4 linked regions of the Canis lupus familiaris genome follow. The protein of the gene in region 3 interacts with the protein of the main gene of each other region in a biochemical or structural test. Links are inferred from orthologs where the notes say so. Each region holds a gene or a part of one and is shown on either strand. Other genes may lie near its edges.

Region 1 (5,036 bases), on a different chromosome or scaffold from region 3:
TCCGGCTTGGGGAGAGGCTCCGCACCATGTCATGCAGTGACAAGATCCTTCGCTGGAATGTGCTGGGCCTTCAGGGGGCGCTGCTAACCCACTTCCTGCAGCCCGTGTATCTCAAGTCAGTCACTCTGGGTAAGGGCCCACCGCTGCCTGCCTGCCCAGTGACAGAGAGACTGCCGCAGGGTCTGGGCTTCCTTGCCACCGCCAACCCCCACCCCCTGCCCCCAGCCTGGAGCCCGATGTGTTGTGCCTGTGGCTTGAGTGGACACATGCCCTGTGCAGCCCCACCCACGAGGCCTGCCAATGAGGGTGCCACCTCTATCTCAACAGCACTCCCCGGCCCCCTCTCTGCCCCCCATACACCTCTCAGCAACACCCGGCGCAAACACAGGGGCACACACCTCCGTTTCCTCACAGGCTACCTGTTCAGCCAAGGACATCTGACTCGTGCCATCTGCTGCCGTGTGACGAGGGACGGAAGTGCCTTTGAGGATGGGTTGCGGCCCCCCTTCATTGTCAACCACCCCAAGGTGCTCGCTCCCTTTTCCCTTGACCTTCACTGTGGGCAGGGGAGGAATGTCGTGGGTTTCCCGGGAGCTGGTCCTCTGTACTCTCGGACACCAGGGGCTTGCTTCTTAGGTTGCAGCATATTTGCATACAGTTAGGGTTCACCAAACAGCATCCCAGACCAGGAGAAAGACCCCCAGCTGCCCCCTCTGCCCCAGGGGCCCTGAGTCCCTGCGACAGGACTTCCCAGAAGGCCTCCATCTTCTCCCTCCCACCCCCGGACTCGTAGGTGGGCCGAGTCAGTGTGTACGACTCCAAGAGGCAGTCCGGGAAGACAAAGGAGACGAGCGTGAACTGGTGCCTGGCTGACGGCTACGACCTCGAGATCCTGGATGGGACCCGAGGCACCGTGGACGGGTGAGGCCCAATCCACCATGCCCCCCCTCACATGCCTCCCACAAACCCCCCCCTTCTCTGGACCCCAGGGACTCACCAGCGCCTCCGTCCCCCAGGCCACGGAACGAACTGTCACGTGTCTCCAAGAAGAACATTTTCCTCCTGTTCAAGAAGCTGTGCTCGTTCCGGTACCGCAGGGATCTTCTCAGACTCTCGTATGGCGAGGCCAAGAAAGCCGCCCGAGACTATGAGCTCGCCAAGAACTACTTCAAGAAGAGCCTCAAGGACATGGGTTACGGGAACTGGATCAGCAAGCCCCAGGAGGAGAAGAACTTTTACCTCTGCCCCGTGTGAGGGGGGCCGGGGCCGGGGGGCCACACAGCTGGGCCGTAGCTTCCTCATCTCTTCAGTCTCGGGGAGGGGAGGGGATCCTTGTCTTTTCCTTTTTTCTTTTTTTTTTATTTTTTAATTTTTTGGTGGGAGCAGGTTGATGACCCTGAGAACCACCAGCCCCCTGCCCTTTCTGTGGCAAGGGAGGCCCGTCTTCTCCTCCTGCCGCACAAGCACGAGGGCCTATGGCCCACCTCCCGCTCAGCCCCACTTTGGTGTCCACGTCCTCTGCCGTGTGTTTGCTGCACCAACTCTCACCCTCCAGGTCAGGCCCCCATCCGCCATCTGTGCTGAGTTCTGCAGGGCCAGAGGTTTCACTGGTGATTCTGCAGGCCCCTCCGTCTCCCCTCTGCCCTTTTGCAATTCTCTCATGATCACTAAGCTTCTCCTTTTCCTCCAAGATCATAAGAGGTGAACTTACAGAATTCGGTGAAATACACAAGGACAGGGTTGTAAAACTGCGGTTCATTAATTCCCAGGGCGGGCACGTCCCGAGTCTGCAGGTGATGTCCAGTAACCTTCGGGTCTTGCACTTTAGCCAGCGAGGAGGGCTGGGCTGCCGAGAGGGCCAGCAAGGCCTAGGGGTGGCCCCTGCCGTAGCAAACGCCCCATGGGGTGACACCGTCCGCCCCAGGGAGCACAGACATGCCTCACGACACCGCCAGCCCAGCTGTCCTCCAGAAGCATTCCTATGGATTTGTCAGGCCAGCAGGGCACAGATCCCAGTGCACAGCAAGGGTTCTTGCAGGGCAAGTCCTTGGCTCAGATAATCAGGACTTAGAATCAGGGCAGATCAATCATGTTGGGTCAGATCACTGTACCACCCAGTACCCTCATGACACTGCACCTGAGAAAGTTGACCAAGTCATAGGTAAATTAGGAGTTTTTAAAAATGTCATAAATGTTGATTCTTAACTGCTACAGATAATCTGTAATTGCACAGAATTTAAAGTCAGACCTAATTTTCCATTTATCAAGTGCTCCTGTTTGCCAGCTCGCTTCAGAAGGGCCAGCCATGGCCTGAGGTCTCCTGGCCTATCAGGGAATCTTTGTAGGATGGATGCTCAACAGCAGTTAAAACCCTGTGAGCTGGGACCCCACCTCCCCCTCCCCGTCCATACCTCAGGCTTGTGGTGACTCCCAGGGTCAGAGCCTACAGTGTCTCTGGAGGCTGGCTCGATCCTGCATCAGCTACACCCCACCTCCAGGGGTACCCCCCTCACTGCCTGACAGCACCCGGGCCTGTGCCCTCACATGATTTTCCCTCCGCCCCTACACCCCACAGACTACTGACAAGGCCACCCCGTCTGGCCCTCCTCTTCAGTGGTAGATACACCCACACTTTTGTTCTTGTGGCTACTATTTCCTCTGTGCTTTTGACCAAAAATTGACCAAAATTAAAAAAAAAAAACATTCAAGTTTTTTTAAAGTATACTAAAGATGTCTGTGGAACAGCCAAGTGTCTCAAGGAACTGGTAGGGAAACGGTGCCTACTTATGGGGCGGAGGGGCCTGGCCCCATCCTGCGTACCTGCTGGGGGCACATGAGGCCTGTCTTGCCCAACGTGGCTCGTCCCCCAGGCTCTTCAGACTGGAGGGTCTGGCCTGCTGACCCCACAGAATGTCCAGACCCTCCGCTCCATCTTGGGTGTTAGAATCTCCAGCAGAGCCCCACTCAGCCCAAGGTCAGATGAGACGCATCTGGTTTCTGCTGTAGGAAGGGGGCACAGCATCCTGTGCTCATGTGTGTGCTGGAGACGATCCCGCGTGCGGCCTGTGTCCCCGCGCCCCTCGGGGCACAGCTCCTGTCCACAGTGCTCACCTTTTTGTCAAATCTTTGTTTTTAGTAACCAGGACGCCCTTCTTCCTTTTTTAAAATGATCTTTGTAGTTGATTTGTCTGAACTGTGGCTATTGTGCATTCTCTGAATAATCACTTGTGAAAATTGTCGCTGCTCGAAGCTATTTCCTTTACTCTCGTTGAGCGACTGTTGGTTTGGGTCCTGGTGTGACTCCAAGAGCAGATTGGAAAGAGCCCAAGCACAGACTTGGTGCTACCGGGGCTGCAGTCAGGTTTACGATTCCGCTTTGATGTGTCCCCTGATAACCGTGACTAACAATATACATTCCTCATAAATAAAGAAAAATCTGAATTGTTAGAAAGTTTCCTGTCTTGGCTTCCCCGGGAAGGGAGAGTGGGGGCAAGGGGGCCATGATCCTGGGGTTTCTGGGGCTGGGCGTCCTTTCCTGACTGCCCCGGCCCCACACCCAGCGCCCCCACAGAGCCTTCAGGTTAACACCTTGTGCTCGGAGATGTGGGATGCAGGATTCCAGCCTGGGTGGGAAAACCACCTGTGACACAACATCTCAAGTCATGTGCATCACCCCTACTCTGTTGGGGCGTTTTTCTCCAGCCCAACCCCAAACAGTACTCCCGGCAGCAGCCATCCCGCCTGTAGGAACATGCATGTTTGGAACAAGTCTCTGGCCAGGCTGCCGTCTTAGGAGACCTGCCATGGCCTTCAGCTTGGGGAAGGCACCGGATCATATTCCCGCAGGGCGTCAGAGGGAATGTGCCCCTTTCCACGCGGTGACAGCCCAGAGGCTAGCACACTCATCCCTGACTTTTTAACACGCTGTCCTCCTAGAGGACACAGAGTCATGGTGAAGCCTCCTTCCCCATCCACTGCAGATGGGACAGTGGAGGCAGGAGGGCCAGTGATGTGTTTGGGGGCTTGTAAGGGGCCACAGCTGTGCATGGGTGTCATTCGTGATCTGCCGAGACCAGTGCTGAGTTGGCTGGATGGTTTCTGAGGACAGCAAAGGAGAATGCCTCCGGCGCCAGGATGTACCAGGGACCTCTTAGTGACTCCCGATCCCCTACCCCCCTACCCCCCTACCCCCCGGGGGTTCGAAGACACAGATAATTTCCTTTCTTCACACCTAACTTGAGCGCCAGACCTGTGTGTGTGGAGGGAAGGAGCCTATCCCCGCCACCAGCTCCGAGGGGCTGGAAGAGACAGGGCTGGGGCACAGGGCAGCCAGGGGTGGTCAGCTCACAGGTCTGCCCTCTGTTCCCATTGACCTGTGTTCCATCAGGGGCCACAGCTGAATGGTGCCTCCAGGTCGAGACCCAGGGCAGACCAGGGTCCTAGGGACCACGCAGCCTGCAACCTTGACCTCCCTGCACAGATGAGCTGCAAGGAGACCCCATGGATCCTGACTCCAGGCCCTTCTAGAGGAGCGTCCCCAGGAGCAGCCTCAGCTCTGCTGCCCCAGGTCCAGCCACGTGGCCATTTCTTCCCCAGCGACTAGAGTCCTTGTAAAGCACAAATCCCAGAAATCAAAGTGACTGCTCACCTTCAGGTTCTCGTACTTTCATGCCTCACAAGTCCAATTTCTCCAGCTCCCCTCACCCCCCGCTTTCCCACATCTGCCAACCCTGCCCCCAGATACAACAGAGACAAGACGTCTTTGGAAACAACTTTTCTTTGCGAGAATCTTGAGTTCCTAATGAATCTGGCCTGGCTAGACCAGTGCAAATATTCCAGAAGCACAGACAGGGGAGGCCAAGGCCGGGCAGGAAGCTCGGGGTCGGGAGGCACCTCAGCAACTCCTAGACCTGCAGTCCCTTAGGAGCCACAGGACATTCACCCTGGCCACTCGGGCCTGCTGGCCAAACACTGAAAGGTGCCACTGGCTCTCACTCTGGCCTGGGCACGTGATGGGCAACACCTGCTGGACCAAG
Region 2 (5,854 bases), on a different chromosome or scaffold from region 3:
CCCGACGCCGACCAGAAACTCACACTTATTACGATACTCGGTCTGCAGGAAGGGTGGAGGGAGGCAGAGAGACACGCCTGACCTTACTCTGGCCGTCCAGCACTTGTGAGCGGCCAAAAGAGCTCATCAAGTGAGAGATGGTGGTGAGCGAGAGGCACCAGTTTCCCCACGGGGCCTGGCGGTCCAGGGGATGGGGCTGACAACAAGTAACAGTCACGTGACGAACACCAGAAAGAGACAGAAAACAGGGAAAGCTATGATAGAGGTAAGAGAGAAGAGCTCCTCTTAGAACACGAGGTGGATTTCTGGTTGCAGCAGCCGGGCCTGACCTGCTGGGGTGATGGCCTAACCCCCTCCAGTGGGCAGCAGGCCTTGTTGTGCTTGTGCCTCTGTGAGAGCAGCCAGGGCAGCAGGGCGCGGTTGGTGCTCCCAATTTCCCTGCAGGAGGAGGTGAGGCCAAGGTTGGACTCAGCCCGCTGCCCCCCGCCCCCACCACTACCCCCAGCCCCCACCACTACCCCCAGCCATTCTCCAAATGCCCAGGTGCCTGGGCTCCTCCTTCGGGACCTCACCAGCCCCCCTGATTATACACGGGGCTTCCTGGCTTACTGCCCACGAGACTGTGCAGCCGTGAGGACGTCTGCACGGCGCACGGTGGGGGCTGGACGAGCATGCAGCCGAGCAGAGCTTCGGGGCCACCGGGTGATCTGCACCCACACTCACTTGGCAAGCTTCTGTAGCACCTGCTCGCACTCCAGCCGCTTCCGCTCGAGCTGCTCAGCATAGGGCACGGTCCAAAGAGGGGTCACTACATCTGCGATGCAGGTGGCTGTGGGCTCACCCTCATCCTCGCGCCGCCTCTTCCTGGCCATGGGATCCGCCTTGGGCCTGGCGGGGCGCACGCTGAGTGGGCGGCCCTTCCAGAGGGCACCGTGCAGCACACGCAAGGCCTTGTCCCGCTCAGCGGCGCTGCGGAAGGTCACAAAGGCGCAGGGAGGCTGCCCAAAGAGTTTGGTCTTATGAGGCTGCAGGCCGAAGCGGCCCAGAAAGCGCCGGACGTCACTGAAGCTGGCGTGGCGGGGCACGTTCTGCAGCTCCAACTTGAAGATCTCCGAGGTGAACAAGTCGTCCCTGATGTAGCTGTAGAGCCCGGGCTGAGGCGCGGCCCCCGCGGCCGCCCGGCGCCCCTTCCTGCTCCTGCGCTTCCTCCCGGGGGGCCGGGGCCGCAGGGCTGCCCCGGGCACCGCCGCCGTCCGGGCCGCAGCCGTCCACGGGCACAGGGCGCTGTGCAGGGGCAGACGGGCCTCGGGGTGAGGACCGGCCCCAGGGCCTGGGCGCCGCCCACGAGCCCCCCGTTAAGGCACCCGGCGCCCCGGCTCGCCCCTCCCCCCGGCTCCCAACTTGCCCCCGCCCCACGTTGTCTCCTAGCGGCTTCCCGCCCGGCCTCCCATCACGATCTCCCTTCACTTTACCTCGTCGCCGAGCTCGTCACTCACCGTCCGGTCCATCCGCGTCGCGCCCGGGGCCCCCGCGAGGGCCACCTCCGCCTCCGGGCCCTGGGCCTGGCAGAAGGGAGGCAGGCGCTCCGAGGGCGGCCGCAACGCCGCGAGGCCGCTTCCCGGCTCCGCCCAGGGCGGGGGCGGGACTCGAACCCTCGCCGCTCGGGTTCGCGTCCCCGACGTGGGGTACGCCGCCCGCCCGCCAGGGGCCCGTGCCGGCCGCTCGCCTGGTTGGCCGCTCTCCCGTGAGCCAGCGCGTGCCGCCGAGGCCGCGCGTCTCTATCATCTCGACTTCCGGTGATGTCATCGCCACGCGCCAGCTCGGATCCCCTGGCCCTTAGCGAGCCCGAGGGGCGCGCGCCACCGCGGGGCGGAAGTGCGCGCGAGGGCCGCCGGGAGCGCACGTCCCCTGGCTGCCGGGCTGGCCGGGCATGCGCCGGGGGCGTTTTGGCGGGAAGCGCGGGGCGGGCAGGACAATGAGACTGTCCGCCGTGTGAGCCAATAAAGCTGCGCTGGTTTTGAATCGCGTCGCGTTTCCCGCCGCCGAGGTCAGGGGTCGGGGTTCGGGTCGCGGGGCGGAGGGAAGAGCGGGAGGGCGGGAGGCGCCGGCGCCAGACGCGGAGGGAAGGAGCTACGACCAGCCGCCGAGAGGCCGCGGAGCCAGCGACGACCGAGCCCGCCGAGCCGCCGCCGCCGCCGCCGCCGCGCCCCCATGGCGGCCGCCAAGGTGCGGCCGGGCTCGGGCGGGGACCGGGTGGGGGCCGGGAGGCCGAGGCCCCTGCCGGCGGCCACGTGGGCGGCCCGCGCCGCCGCCGCCAACCCCCGCCGGCTTGCGGGCTCCGTGCCTTGCGGAGCCTCGGCGGCGCGTGGTCGGAGCTTCGGGGAGCGCGGCCTGGGGCCCGCGGGGCCTGGGGGCGCGGGCTCGGGGGCTGCCGGGCGCCCGCGTGACCTTGGGGCGGGCCCCGCCGAGGCCGGGGCGCTCCATCGGGGCGGGGGGCGGCCCGCCGCCCAGGCTCCGTGGTCTCCGCTCGCTCTGCTGCTCGCCTGAGACCCAGGCGGGGGCCCGGCTTCCGCGGCTCGGCCCACTTGCAGGCTTCCCACCGGAACCGAGCGTCCCTCCCGCCGCCGCCTGCGCAGCACTTCATTCATTCTGTGCTCACGCCCTGAACGGCCGCAGGCCGCGGGGGCGGCGGTCTGGTTCCAGCCGGGTGGACCGGCCTGGCCGCGCGACCCGGGGGCGGCGGCTGCTCCGGGGACCGCGGGCCTCTGCCCGGGCGAGCTGGCCGACCGCGGAAGGCAGCTTTTCGTATTTGCTGTTCCGGCCCGGGACGGGTAGTAAAGCCCCCCGGGTTCTTACGGACTGCAGATCGCCAAGCCACGTGTTTTGTGAGACTTGAACCTAAAACGGGCTCTTCTGTGGCCTGTAGTTTTCTATTTGTATGATTTCTGTCGATGCATCAACTTTGGGATGTAAGATAAAACTGCCGGCAGGACGTGCATTTCACGTAAACTCTAGGAGTTGGTAGCCACTTTCACCCCCTTCTGCTAAACAAGAGCACGGGGTTTTTTTTTGGTTTTTTTTTTTCCCTTCAACCAGTAAACGTTGGTGAAAGGGTGACAGGCTCCATGAGGCTCTCTTCCACCATTGTGCCTTTTAATCTTCATCTAGTGCTGTCCTTATCCAGGTTTTACAGGTGAGGAGACAGGTGGGAAGTGATGAGGCAGTGCCTCTGGCCAGTAGGCCGCCCACCTTGAGGGGCCCCAGCCACACTGCACACACGTGCCTGATGCCTCTGCGGAGGGCGTGGAAGTTCAGCATCTTCCTGCACTCTTGAATGGGGGTGCCAGCCTTGTGTGAAAGACTGTGGGCTTAACCTCTTGCTCTGGGATGAGGCCATTCACTAGGAGGGATTGCCCACTGCGGGCACAGCTGAGCTCTGGGTGGGGGCCAGGCTCCGGAGCCAGCAGAGTCACTTCTCTGCACCTCCCTCCACAGGACACCCATGAGGACCATGACACCTCCACCGAGAATGCAGATGAGTCCAACCACGACCCCCAGTTCGAACCTATAGTTTCTCTTCCTGAGCAAGAAATTAAAACGCTGGAAGAAGATGAAGAAGAGCTTTTTAAGATGTAAGTAAGCTCACGTTGCTCCAGACCTTGGTATCTTTAGTGTAAGATTGAGTTTATGGTTTTTATGGCCATCAGGGTCTTGGCCTGGCTTGTAATTGGACTGAGACTGAGGAAAGGGCTTGGTTGGGATTGTGCAATAACTAATCCTATGTGGAAATCAAAAAGCTATTGGACGACTCTTCACTTGGTGCCCCTTCTTCTGGTGGCCAGTCCTGTGGAGAGCACAGGTGCTCCCTGGTGTCCTGTTCCTGCTGCTCTGTCCACAAAGGGGCATCGCCACAGTCCTCTGTCCTTGCCACCTTACAGGCTTGCTGCCTTTAGAGGTTTCCAACTGCACCTTTCATCTGGTTGAACAGGGAGTCTCTGCCATTGTTATCATTTCTTCTTTTGCGCTACAGACTTTGGCATCCTGAAGTTTGTGAACTCCCAAATCAGTGTTTTTATGCACAAAATGACACTTGAAATTACAAATGAAAGGGGATGGTGTTACACTTACCAAAATCATTTTCTAAAAAATCATTGTACATGTGTTTTTTGGCGCCTTCAGTAAGAAGCTACAAAGGCAGGTGTCATTTTTAAGTAGCACTGGCACCAGCCATTTGTTGAGATGTCTGTGACAAAATCAGCGCGCTGCTGAGACTGACCTGTTGCCTGTGCTCAGCATCACACGGAACGCTAGGTTCTGTTTCAAGTTAACGGAAATAGGCTGGAGTGCTTTTCCTGTCCAAGCTTACGGAGCTCCCCCACTTTTCAGATTCTATCCAAAAAGCCAGTTGAGGGTTCAAGTGCTTTCCTGACTCCTCCCTCTAAGGAAGGCAGATTGGGAAGACCAGCCTCTTCCCACTACTCTGAAAGGCCTGGGAAAGGAGAGTCACATATATCCCTTTGATCTCAAGAGAGTGGTGGGTCTGTCCCAGAAGACGCTGGATCTCCACATGTGTGCTTTGCCCAGAAATGGTGCCACAGCCAGGGACTGTTCCCTCCCAGGGGTGAGGACTGCTGCTGGTGCTGTCACACACACACTCACCCCCCGCTCTGGCCCTCCTGCCCACACTGGACTGAGAACTGCTCCTGGCAGTCCTGAACATAGGCCCTTCCTGAGGGAGGTGAGGCCAGCAGGTCAGGCCTTTACGTCTGGGCCCTTGGGCGTCAGGTGAAAGCTCTGGTGGCATCCTTTTGAGGGCAGTTATTTCCCTTAACAGAATTGAGTTTGGGAAAGAGAGCAGGGTGTTGTGCAGGAAATGGACCAGCAAGGCTGGGGTCCTAGGGGGAAGGAAATGGAGCCTGAAGTCCTAAGGGCAGGACTGTTGGGCTCACCACGGGGGCTTTGCTGCCCGGTGGGACGGGGCTTTGGCTGGGCCCAATGTGAGGTACTATTCTGGGCAGGAGGGCAGGGTGTTGGACCAGAGCTTGGTGGCCTGAGTAGAGGTCTACAGCCCCCTCTCTGTGTTGGGGGGCCAGGGAAAGAGGGCATCTCACAGCAGGGGGAAGGGCTGGCCCTGTGGACGACAGGGGTCCTCGACCTCTCTCTGTTTCAGTGCTACCCCTGTGGCCCTATGGGACACCAGGGGCTGCCCTGCAGTGTGATCACAGGCAAGCCTAGCGTACTTGGGGAGGGGGGTGTCTTTGCTGAGAAGTTGGGTCTTTCTGTTGGAAATCTCTTTTCTCTTTGATTATTCCAAGTAAAACCTGGGAATTGATTGTTGACTTGCTCTTTTGTTAGTTTTTAAACTAACAGTCCTAGAGGTACCAAGAAAGGAAAGGGTGTCTATGGTGGTGCTAGAAACAGCCATTTGTTCAATGCACAGAAAACAAGTGTTCTTTCCCAGCAAACATTTGGCTGTGTATTCCCCTCTCTGTGCACATCTAAGCCCTCTCTTAATGGCTTTTCTTGAAGGCGGGCAAAGCTATTCCGATTCGCTTCAGAGAACGATCTCCCAGAATGGAAGGAACGAGGCACTGGTGACGTCAAGCTTCTGAAGCATAAGGAGAAAGGGACCATTCGTCTCCTTATGAGGAGGGACAAGACCCTGAAGATATGCGCCAACCACTACAGTAGGTGACCTTTTCGGGGAGAGTTTTCACTCTGAGTCCCACATAAGGACGCCTTCAAGTCTTCGGGCAGGCTGCCTTCGGTGCCACACGGGAGCCTGGGGGCACACTGTGACATGGGGCACGTATTCGCATTGTGTTCAGGACTTAAAGTGGGAAATGAGGTGTTC
Region 3 (5,200 bases):
TTGCAGAGAGGGGGGAAAAACCCAACCAAAAAAAGGAAGAAAAAAAAAAAAGAAAAAGAAAAAACCAGCATGACTTCTTAGTTTAATCACACATTTCTTCTGGAATTTCATGTGGATTAAGGATGCCAGGGACAGACATTTGAAGTTTATGTTTCTCTTCCTGAGCCTGTCGAAGGGCTGTTTCTCTTTCTTCCAAAAACAGATCAGATGTATCTTCACCTGCAAACTCCTGTGACAACAAGATAGTTAAGTATTAATATAACCAACTTCAATTTTGGAAAATGTCCTCCTGGGAGGGGTGGAGGAAGATAGACAAGCACCTCCCTGTTTTGTCTACACAATGATAAAACCTATCCTTCAATTGGTTGGGTTAATATTATAGTGTATGTATTTTTAAAGATTATATGTATTACAAACAAAATGCAGGGGGGTAGGAGGAGAGGGAAGGACAAGCAGGCTCCCTGCAGAGTGCAGAGCAGGGTAGGGGGGTTTAATCCCAGGATACCATGCCCCAGAGATCATGATCTGAGCTGGATGTTCAAGGTGTCCCTAAATTATAGCATACTGATACAATTCTGTGTAGCTGAATTAAAACCAAAGGTGTTAACTGAGGAAAAAAAGTTTATTAAAAAGGCATAGTGCAATGTCATATATAAAATATACTTCCATAAGACAAGAGATTTAAAAAGTTGTTTCTCCTACAACTAATGATAAAGTTTAGCTACATTGTGACTATATAGCTGTTTTTTAAATATTTTATTTATTTATTCGAAGAGAGAGAGAGAGAGAGGCAGAGACACAGGCAGAGGGAGAAGCAGGCTCCCTTTAGGGAGCCGGACGTAGGACTTGATCCCGGGTCTCCAGGATCAGGCCCTGGGCCGAAGGCGGCGCTACACCGCTGAGCCACCCCAAGCTGACCTATATAGGAATTTCAAGTAATTTTCGCTCTCTTTGGCATTCTCTACTTATGACATAGCTAATATATTTACAATTTTTAAAAAACCTATTTATCTTAGAGGGAAAAAAAATCTGAGTAACATTATCATGTACGACCAATCCTTATTTAACCTTCACCAGTAAGATAATCCATCAACTTACAGATGTTACATTACTTTTAAATTTGTTTAAAAGAAAGTAATACAAGACAATTTCTTCTTCCCATAAATTTATTTTTTTTTCTTCCCATAAATTTAAATGAAGCATTGTGTAACAGCAGTAGAAAGAAGTGGATTATCTGCTAATTTGTCTTAATTCCCTAAAATGGATTACTAACAAAATGGGTATGAAATCCCCAAAGGGGCAATCAGTGTTTCTTTCCCCATAATGCACAATTTAAAAATCATCTATAGGATGACATGACCATTATTCCAAGACATTTTGATCATCCAAAATGAATTCTATTAATAACAAGTTTCCAAAAACATTTGTAACGCATCATGTTCTCAGCGATGACTTAGTTTTTCACTGTGTATCAGTCTAGGACTAGTAAGCTTAAATACCACTCAAAAATCCCATTCATTTTGCTTTAACAAAAAGCGGTACATTGTACAATCCAACAACTAAAACATACCAAGTACAAAGCACGTACCTTTATTTGTACTAGGAAATCCCTAAGATGTTCCTTGAAAGCAGGAATATCCTGATTTAAGCTGAAAAGCCCTGTCACAAAGAGCTTTACTTGAGCACTGCAAAACAAAACACAACGATTAAATATCACTGTTTTTTAACTGAAAAATATAGGTGTATTAAAAAGTGTATTTACTCTTGTAGATGAGGGAATGCAGATTTAAGGAGATTTGCCACATATTCCTGAATGAACATTTGGTTGTTAACTGGATTTCCAGGATTTAATGGTGTACTTATTTTTCCTTCTTCAACCAAATTAAACATATATGCCAGTATTGACGCATGCATTGTCAAACCTGTTGATAAGAAGAACATCATTAACTCCACAGTTAATAACAACTTGAACACTTAAGATTTTCATGGCTATAAATTCTTACCAGCAGTATGTGAGGTGTCTGTCACAACAGAAAAGATATGCTGAAGAATATCACAAAAATAAGTTTGATAGAAACTCTGAGCTGCAGCTTCTTCTTGTGCAACATTTTGTAAGAGTGTAAAAAGTATCTGTAAGCCTAAAATGTACAAAAACACTAATGAAGTTATTACAGCCGGTTAACATTCACACAGAATTTCCACTATTCAACTCTTCTGATTCAAAAGCCATTCTTAACCCTCTTTCCACTAGTGACTAACAATTATTTGCCTAAATTACCTTGAATAATGGGAGTTCATCTAGCATCAATGTCTGCTTATAGATTACAGTAATAACCATTACCAACTTTCCACTATATCTGAAAGTTTAGATTCTCTCCAAATCAACTCTAAAAACAGCATTACGAAAATACAAGTATATTACATAAACCAGTTTCTATTAAAAAATAAAAATTTCTCTCGAAAATGTGGTTTTCTCCTTATTTTGACCCTTAGCGGGACAGAGGAAAAGCATATGGGGAAAAGGAAACATTGGTATGGATGCGGAAAAGTAATGTCGCTCTACTTTGAATTTTCACCCATCTCCCTGTAAATCAACCCTACACCTGTGGACTCAACCATAGAAGAGAGGATTCAACTGCTTTTAGTATTTACTTAGACCTACATATGCCACAGATGTACTCACACAAAACCCACATAACAGTGCTACCTAATTCCTTCAGATCTAAGTTTAAGAGCCTGTGGATTGTAAGATGAATGAATAAAAAGGGTATTTAAATAAAAGGACGTGTATTTACCTGTATCTGCAACATTCCTCATAGTATGTTTGAAAGCCCAAATAATGGAATCCAAAACAAGTTTAAATTGTGCAGGTGGTATTGCCAGGAATGCTGGGAAACAATGAGAATTGACAGCCTGAAGTAGTAAGAAAAAGTTTGTTCTGTGTTCAGGATATTCTTCAAAGTCCTATAAACAAAAGATGAGAACAAAATAAAGTTTCAATGCCTTAATTATGTTTAATAAAAAAGAAAAAGTAAATCCTAATTTAGTATAAAGCTTTGGAATTGTTAATGGGCCCCATCCAGTGTATGTAAGATATTGGTTTCCTGATCAGCAAACCTGAAATCAACACAATTTGCCTCTCATGGAAGATGTAATTACCACTGATTACACAAATGAATTACTAAAAATAAGGACTACAAGGTCCCATTATAAGGAGTCAAAACCCATAAAGAACATATTTTCAAGTTACTCTTAAGAAAATTACTACCATGTTATGATTCTGACTTCAAGATCACAAATATAGATCCGAGAATTTTTAGCTACTGTGTAAATTTGTGGACTTAGATCTACATTTTCCTATCTTACTTAATACATTTCCCCATTTCTTGTGTGTGTGTATATATATACACATATACATTACTGAATATAGTTTTTATGTAAATTTACTATTTTGCAGTTAAGATTGTTTTAAGATTTGAGGGAGTACATGTGAATTGGGGGGAGGACCAAAGGGAGAGAATCTTCAACAGACTCCTTGCTGAGTGTGGAGACTAGACTTGGTGTGTTACCTCACCATTCTGAATTCAAGATCAAGATCAAGCGGAGACCAAGAGCAGAAGCTCAATCAACTGAGCCATCCAAATGGCCAAAGATCTTTTTAATAGTAAATACATTTTTTTAAAGATTGTATTTATTTATTCATGACAGAGAGAGAAAAAGAGAGAGAAAGGGGGGCAGAGGGAGAAGCAGTCTCCACACAGGGAGCCTGACGTGGGACTCGATCCTGGGTCTCCAGATCATACCCCAGGCCGAAGGTGGCGCTAAACCACTGGGCCTCCAGGGCTGCCCAATAGTTAATATTTTTAAAAGTACTTCTCTGGTCTAAATGTTCAAATATTTAAACTAGTTAATCCCATAGCTATCATTTATGCTTTCAAGTCTTACAAGGATACATAATGCAGAATTTCCCATACTGAAATGTAAACCACATACCTTATTTATCATATTCAATGTGCATTCAAAAACAGCATCAAATATTTGAGGTATTTCAGCTGTTATATGTCCTCCTAACTTGTTGACAATAATAGCCATAGTACTAAGCACTTCTGGTTCTCTAGCAGCTGGTACATTTCTCTGATAATCAATGAGAACTGCATCCAATAAAGGAGGAACAAAATTTTCAGCTACCTGTTAAAAAAAAAAAAAAACTTTACCCAAGTTTTTTATTTATTTTTTTTTTAAATTTTTATTTATTTATGATAGTCACACAGAGAGAAAGAGAGGCAGAGACACAGGCAGAGGGAGAAGCAGGCTCCATGCACCAGGAGCCCGATGTGGGACTCGATCCCGGGTCTCCAGGATCGCGCCCTGGGCCAAAGGCAGGCGCCAAACCGCTGCGCCACCCAGAGATCCCCCAAGTTTTATCCTATGCACTTGCTTACCATCATAAACAGCTAGGTCAATGTTATATTGAAATTTAGGTTGAATATCTGCTTAAAACTGGAAAATCCCACGTTTTATTTTTTTATTTTTATTTTTTTTTAATGATAGGCACACAGTGAGAGAGAGAGAGAGGCAGAGACACAGGCAGAGGGAGAAGCAGGCTCCATGCACCGGGAGCCCGATGTGGGATTCGATCCCGGGTCTCCAGGATCGCGCCCTGGGCCAAAGGCAGGCGCCAAACCGCTGCGCCACCCAGGGATCCCCCACGTTTTATTTTTAAAAAAAAAATTTAAAGGTTGTTTATTTGACAGAATGAGAGCAACAGGCCGCCCACTGAGCAGGGAGCCCAATGTGGGGACTCAATCACAAACCTTGGGATTCTGACCTGAGCCAAACGCAGTTGCTGGACCAACTACCTGAGCCACCAAGTACCCCTAGAAAATCCCGTTTTTTAATTTGGTTTTGGACATTAAGACTTTTTACCAAAAGAAACCAAGGAATTATAATAGGCTGGGAAGAGCCACAGATATATTGATATTTCAAATCTAATTGCTAAGGTTAAACTAAGGCCCAAAATGAAGTTACTGGCTACACGTTACTATGGCAGGGCCAGGATTTTAGGGATATGTTATATGGGATAACTTACCTAAAAGAAAAGAAAAGCCCTCCTAATCAATACTGCATTAATTTTGTCAATGAATATCTATAAAAACCAAGCAGCGCATATCTAATACAAAGTAGACATCCATTCAATGAT
Region 4 (5,200 bases), on a different chromosome or scaffold from region 3:
ATTACTGTACTCACTCAATTTCTGTAAAGCCCCTGAGAGCCAGTACAGGGCTGTGTGTTTCTACCCATGAGGTCTGAAGGCCCAGGCAAGCAGATCTCTCTTCTCAGGTCTACCAAGCCAGAAGCCCAAGGAACAACAGCGGAGTGTGCTTCGCCCGGCAGTGTTACAAGCCCCACAGCCAAAGGCACTCTCACAGACCGGTAAGAATCTGCCCTGGCATCCAGGCTCACTCAGCAGGGTGTAGAGTGATCCTGAAGTTGGCCTGGGACAGCTGTTTCTTGACACAGGTGACTTTGGCCCTATCTGCTGAATGCACTCAGAAATAGCTGTGGGAACAATCCTGTAAATTCGTGGTGAGGGACGCCTGGGTGGCTCAGTGGTTAATCATCTGCCTTTGGCTCAGAGCGTGATCCTGGTCCTGGGATCAAGTCCCACATCAGGCTCCCTGCGAGGAGCCTGCTCTTCCCTCTACCTGTGTCTCTGCCCCTCTCTCTGTATCTCTCTATGAATGAATAAATAAAATCTTTTTTTAAAAAAAAGTAAAATAAAAAAATAAATAAATCCCTGGTGAGCCCAGGGAAGACGGTATGGTCCCACCGTCTCCCTGTGGCACCAGGCCAAGGTGACCACTAGGTAAGTCCTGCTTTCTGCGCATACTGGCTTCACAAAAGCTGGCTCCTCTCAAGTGTCTCTGGTTCAGCCCAGCATATTTGTAGGCAAAACTTGGCCCTGTGTGTCTGAGAGATTTGAAGGGTCATTTTAGTTATGTGCAAATCATCTGATTTTCCACCATAAGACCTAAATCTTAACCCATATTTCCATGATCTCCACACAGGGCATGGTGTTCAGTTGACCTTTTAGTTTCTTAATGAGCTTTTCTTGTCTTTCTCTTGGCCTCTCCCTGTAATTCAAAAATTCATCAGAAGCAATCCAACATCCCACATGGGGGAAATAGTTAATATTTCTGAAGAGTTTCAACAGGAAAGCTTTTTATAAGCGAGGCTAACCAATCAGCCAAATTTAAAGCTGCACACATCATGTGATCTCAGCTATTTATAGGGAAAAGTGCATAGAATAAAGATGTTATGAGTAAAACGTTTTATAAAACTCATAATCATTCCTTCAATATATATTACTTTTCTCTTTTATCTTCACAGTATCATTTCTGAGTACACTAAAATTCATACAGTTCTTTGTGGAGTAAGCAATAAGATATTCTCACCTCTGTGAGGTTTTAGTTCTGAGGTTGGGTTTTTCAATGTAAGAATGTAATTTTCAGTAGGGACATTAGATCGTTTTCTTTAAAGAGGAGAAATTACACTGTTGGTCTAAATGGTGGAAGGGAGCACTTGAGGTTTCACACACACACACCCCATCTTCTTGTCCCTGCAGTCCCAAGCAGCGGCACCAACGGAGTCAGTATCCCAGCAGACTGCACGGGGGCCATGACAGCAACATCACCTGACAACCCTGCACGGAGAAGTCCCTCTGACGAGGTGCGAGCACTTGAGGTGTTTCTGTGCTGGGCAGGGAGCACCTGAAACTTCTCGGAGCTTTACTGAGTGTGTAGACAAGTTACCTGCTCAGAGCAGTGCCTGGGTAGGCCTGTGTTAAGGCTTTCTGTATTTGCTCAGTGGTGTGCATGTGCAACTGCAGCTGATGTCCATAGTTGCTAGAATGCCAAGGATGGTCTGTCCGCAGTTCCAGAGTTCTGTCTGGGTTCCAGAGGCCAGACCCAGCACCTCCCTGTACAAGTGGCCAGCTGGCCTCTGGGCCTGGCCTCTGGGGGGGCGGGGGTCCTTGGAGCCACAGGAATGGCTTTCATTGATGAGATAGTGTGCCCTTTTACATGGAAAGCTGTCTCCCCTCCCTGTTTCCACACCTGAACAACACGGGGGTTCGCATAGGTGGGCCCATTCTAGCTGAAGAAATCAGCTCAGAACATTGATTGATTGATTGATTGATTGATTGATTGATAGGCAGACACAGCAAAGTCTGGGGTTCTGGGTTTCTATAGGCCAAGAGCATGTGTTTTCTAGTGGTATTGCCCGGCAACTGAAAAATGAGGAGCATGTACCAAAGAGCCTGCATTTGCGGGTGGCAGAGGTGAATCTGAAATGCAAGTTGCAGCACCACACCAAGGCTTCCATTCACAAAGCCAGATTGCATGTGTGTGTTTATTTCGACTGGGCTGTTTTGGCAGCTGAGCTGCTGCCTGAGTTCTGGCCCCTCCACCTCCCCCACACACCCCCCATAGTTGCTGGAGAGCAAATGGTGAAATCGATCGTCTACAATTCATTTTTAAAACATCCCTGAGCAACCCCCGCTCCTTCAGACCACAATTAGCAGAATTAAAATTAGGAGCCATCTTTGCAACCTGCTGCTGCTTGGAGACTTGGATAGCTAGGGCGGCTAGCGCAGCAGGGCTGTGAGCTGGAGGGAGTCTGGGAAGCTGCCTGGCCCGCCCACCTCCGGCGTCCCCGGGGAGTCAAGGACAGGCCACACCCGGGCGGCAGCAGCCCCCCGGGGACCTGAGCCAGAGGAGACCCCTTGAGCAGACGGAACTGCGAGAGATGGCCCACCTTGCTTCTTGGGGCTAACCTGTCACTTCTTTTCAGTTGTTGTCTTGTTTTTGTTTCAAACTAGGAGAAAGAGCCCCAGAAAAATGAGTCTAGCGATACTTGTGAGGAGGAGAACTGTGAGAAAAGAGAGCAAGTTGCGCAGCAGGCGTTTGTGTTCGGGCAGAACCTGAGGGACCGAGTCAAGGTGTGTGGATCAGAGGCCCGGATGGGTGCTCGCACTCCGGGGTCGGTCTCTTCTGCCTCCTCCAGTTCAACCACAGGACCTCCGCTTCTCCCTTCAGGGGGCGGGAGGTGGAGGTGGCATAGCCGCAGGCTTGTCCCTGACTGCTGGCATGGCCTCCCTGCTGCACTGCTCAGCTCCCGGCGTGCTCCCTGGAGGCCTCCCTTGTTCTCCCAGTCGCCGGGGATGGGACGAAACCGAGCGTGCCTCTCCTTGGAAACCAACATTTTCGTAGCAAAGGGGACAGCACCATCCGATGCTTTCGACGTCACTGGAGAGCTTGTCATTGCCTAACTTGGGAGCTGCTCTGTCTTGGCACAAAGCAACGTTTAGACAAGGTTCATTGTCAGCTGTTGGAGGGCTGGGTATCCTAGGGTACCAGGCAGCATCCCTGGCCCTCCCCCTCCGGGTGCCAGGAGTATGCCCCCACCCCCTGACGCGGCAACCCAAAGTGTCCCCTCATGAGGCTGAGCATTCCCTTTGGGACCAAGTCACCCCTAATTGAGAATCATTACCTTATTTTTTTTAAGGTAGGGCAGATAGAAAAATAACTATTCTGTCCCATACTAAGCAATAGCATCTGTCCCCTCCTGGCTGCCCCCAAGGCCTATTGGTCTAGTCTGGGGACTTTGAGTCAGGGGTAGAGAGCATCTGGCAGGGGCTCTGGGCTCGGGACCCTGTGTGCTGTCACTCTGAGAAGCCAGAATTAGGCAACACTACCTTTCCAGCCACCAGGATAGAGTGTCCCTCTGTGCCGTTTCCAGCAGCTCATCTGGCAGGAGTTCCTTTAGAAGCCTGAGAGACAACATGAGTGGCTGTGTCTGGGGACGTTTGTGGTTGTCACGGCTAGGGTGTAGGTACCACTGCCATCCAGTGGGTGGGAGCAGGGGATGCTGCCCAATACCCCACGGTGTCCAGGGCGGCTTCCCCACAGAGAAAGATCCAGCCCCAATGTCAGTGATGCTGAGAAGGAGAAATCCTGAAATAAAGGAATAAAAAAGTCTCTCCAGCACGTAGAAAACATCAGGTTGTGCCATCTGCCTTCTCCTTTGGTGTTCGCTGTCCAACAGAAACACAAATCCCTAGGGATGAAAAGTAAGCATTGCTGTTGCGTGACTTTAGCCAAAGTAATGAGTCCCTTGGAGGCTGCTCACTCCAGGGAGGAGGAAGCCGGAGAAGGAAGGGCCTTGAGATCCACCTATGCTAGGGGGCAGGGGCCTGGCCTAAACCGCCAGGTCAAGTCTGTTCCTAGAGTCCAGGGGGATGGCTGCCTTGAAATTGGGGCTGAGGCCCTGTCTTACGGAGGCTCAGGGCTCACGTGATCTGTAGTATCACAGTTACATGCCAGCTTCTCAATGGGGGCGATTTCTTGGCACCCTGAACCCCTGCTTTCTCACTCAGTAGGTCGAGGTTGATAATACCTCTCAGGGTTCCTGGGAGTATCACATTCGATGATAGATTCAACAGAGCTGGCACAGCAGTTAGCAAGCATTAAAAAAAAGCCCTCAAGAAACGATGTTTTTATTATATTTATAATAAACCCCTTAAAATGCCAGATTTGGAAGCATTCTGTGGCCTCTCATTACAAGCATTGGTGAAAAGGGGAACAAGATGTCAATTGAGGGATTTATTTTTTTAAACAAGGTAGAAAAAGTTCCCTGATGCCTTACAAACTCTTTTTCTATCTTAACCATTAAAAGCAGAAATGGCAAAGTTGATTACAGCGCGTGCCCCCCCCCCGGTGTACGCACGTGCACATGCACACACACACACGAGCTGTGCCATAGGCCCTGGGGTATGCAGACAGGCTGAGCTGTTGAGGTCCCGAACAGGCGTTGTCTGGGCAGTAAGTGTCGCCTCTCTGTTTCCCAGTTAACAAATGAGAACACTGAAGTAGCTGACATGGAGAATGCCGGACATCCCAGTTCAGAAACGCCAACTGCGACCAACTATTTCCTTCAGTATATCAGCTCCAGGTGTGTGTCTTGGGCCGGGTGGCCAGCCTCAGAGTGGCCCAGGTCATCCCCTAGCCTGGGGCCCAGGGTGAGGAGGCAGCACCTGGACCAGGAACCTGGTCCTTCTGGAGGGCAGGATGGAGGTGGGAGTGGGGGAAGCAGATTTCACCAGAATCCTGGATCTCCTCCCCCGCCCAATCCCCTGGCTCCCTCCCTTATTCCCATTCTGGGCACAGCTGTGAAGGGGCCAGGATGGTGTGTTTCAACAGACAAGGCAGGACCCAAGTTCTCCTTGGCCCTTGGAGTGACCTCTGTCACCTGGATCTCATGCTCAGAGCAGAACCCAGTGGACCAATGGCTGCTTGGCTGCCTCCTGTTACCTGCCAGGTTCCGGCCTATGGGGACCCCTTACCCTGGATTTGGGTTCGCTGGTGGTTAACACT

What was found.
Region 1: the proteins of XPO1 (region 3) and ADAR form a complex in vitro, tested with the Homo sapiens proteins (2 studies listed by BioGRID, with this or other methods). The link is inferred for Canis lupus familiaris from reciprocal best matches to the Homo sapiens genes XPO1 and ADAR.
Region 2: the proteins of XPO1 (region 3) and RANBP1 form a complex in vitro, tested with the Homo sapiens proteins (3 studies listed by BioGRID, with this or other methods). The link is inferred for Canis lupus familiaris from reciprocal best matches to the Homo sapiens genes XPO1 and RANBP1.
Region 4: the proteins of XPO1 (region 3) and RANBP3 form a complex in vitro, tested with the Homo sapiens proteins (2 studies listed by BioGRID). The link is inferred for Canis lupus familiaris from reciprocal best matches to the Homo sapiens genes XPO1 and RANBP3.

Annotation. Positions count from the first base shown.
Region 1 is NC_049228.1:42,768,462-42,773,497, forward strand, and holds the end of ADAR (double-stranded RNA-specific adenosine deaminase), read left to right. Parts: coding exon 1-129; intron 130-414; coding exon 415-527; intron 528-793; coding exon 794-921; intron 922-1,016; coding exon 1,017-1,254; 3' UTR 1,255-3,447; downstream 3,448-5,036. UniProt on the Homo sapiens protein: Catalyzes the hydrolytic deamination of adenosine to inosine in double-stranded RNA (dsRNA) referred to as A-to-I RNA editing.
Region 2 is NC_049247.1:29,377,708-29,383,561, reverse strand, and holds the start of RANBP1 (ran-specific GTPase-activating protein), read left to right. Parts: upstream 1-2,079; 5' UTR 2,080-2,211; coding exon 2,212-2,226; intron 2,227-3,174; exon of another isoform or gene 3,175-3,193; intron 3,194-3,495; coding exon 3,496-3,632; intron 3,633-5,529; coding exon 5,530-5,687; intron 5,688-5,854. Other genes in the region: TRMT2A (tRNA (uracil-5-)-methyltransferase homolog A), read right to left, coding at 1-42, 330-438, 724-1,330, 1,497-1,806. UniProt on the Homo sapiens protein: Plays a role in RAN-dependent nucleocytoplasmic transport. Alleviates the TNPO1-dependent inhibition of RAN GTPase activity and mediates the dissociation of RAN from proteins involved in transport into the nucleus.
Region 3 is NC_049231.1:62,834,615-62,839,814, forward strand, and holds part of XPO1 (exportin-1), read right to left. Parts: intron 4,189-5,200; coding exon 3,994-4,188; intron 2,965-3,993; coding exon 2,796-2,964; intron 2,139-2,795; coding exon 2,004-2,138; intron 1,923-2,003; coding exon 1,763-1,922; intron 1,686-1,762; coding exon 1,589-1,685; intron 230-1,588; coding exon 83-229; 3' UTR 1-82. UniProt on the Homo sapiens protein: Mediates the nuclear export of cellular proteins (cargos) bearing a leucine-rich nuclear export signal (NES) and of RNAs.
Region 4 is NC_049241.1:54,560,163-54,565,362, forward strand, and holds part of RANBP3 (ran-binding protein 3), read left to right. Parts: intron 1-107; coding exon 108-200; intron 201-1,392; coding exon 1,393-1,496; intron 1,497-2,646; coding exon 2,647-2,766; intron 2,767-4,674; coding exon 4,675-4,778; intron 4,779-5,200. UniProt on the Homo sapiens protein: Acts as a cofactor for XPO1/CRM1-mediated nuclear export, perhaps as export complex scaffolding protein. Bound to XPO1/CRM1, stabilizes the XPO1/CRM1-cargo interaction. In the absence of Ran-bound GTP prevents binding of XPO1/CRM1 to the nuclear pore complex.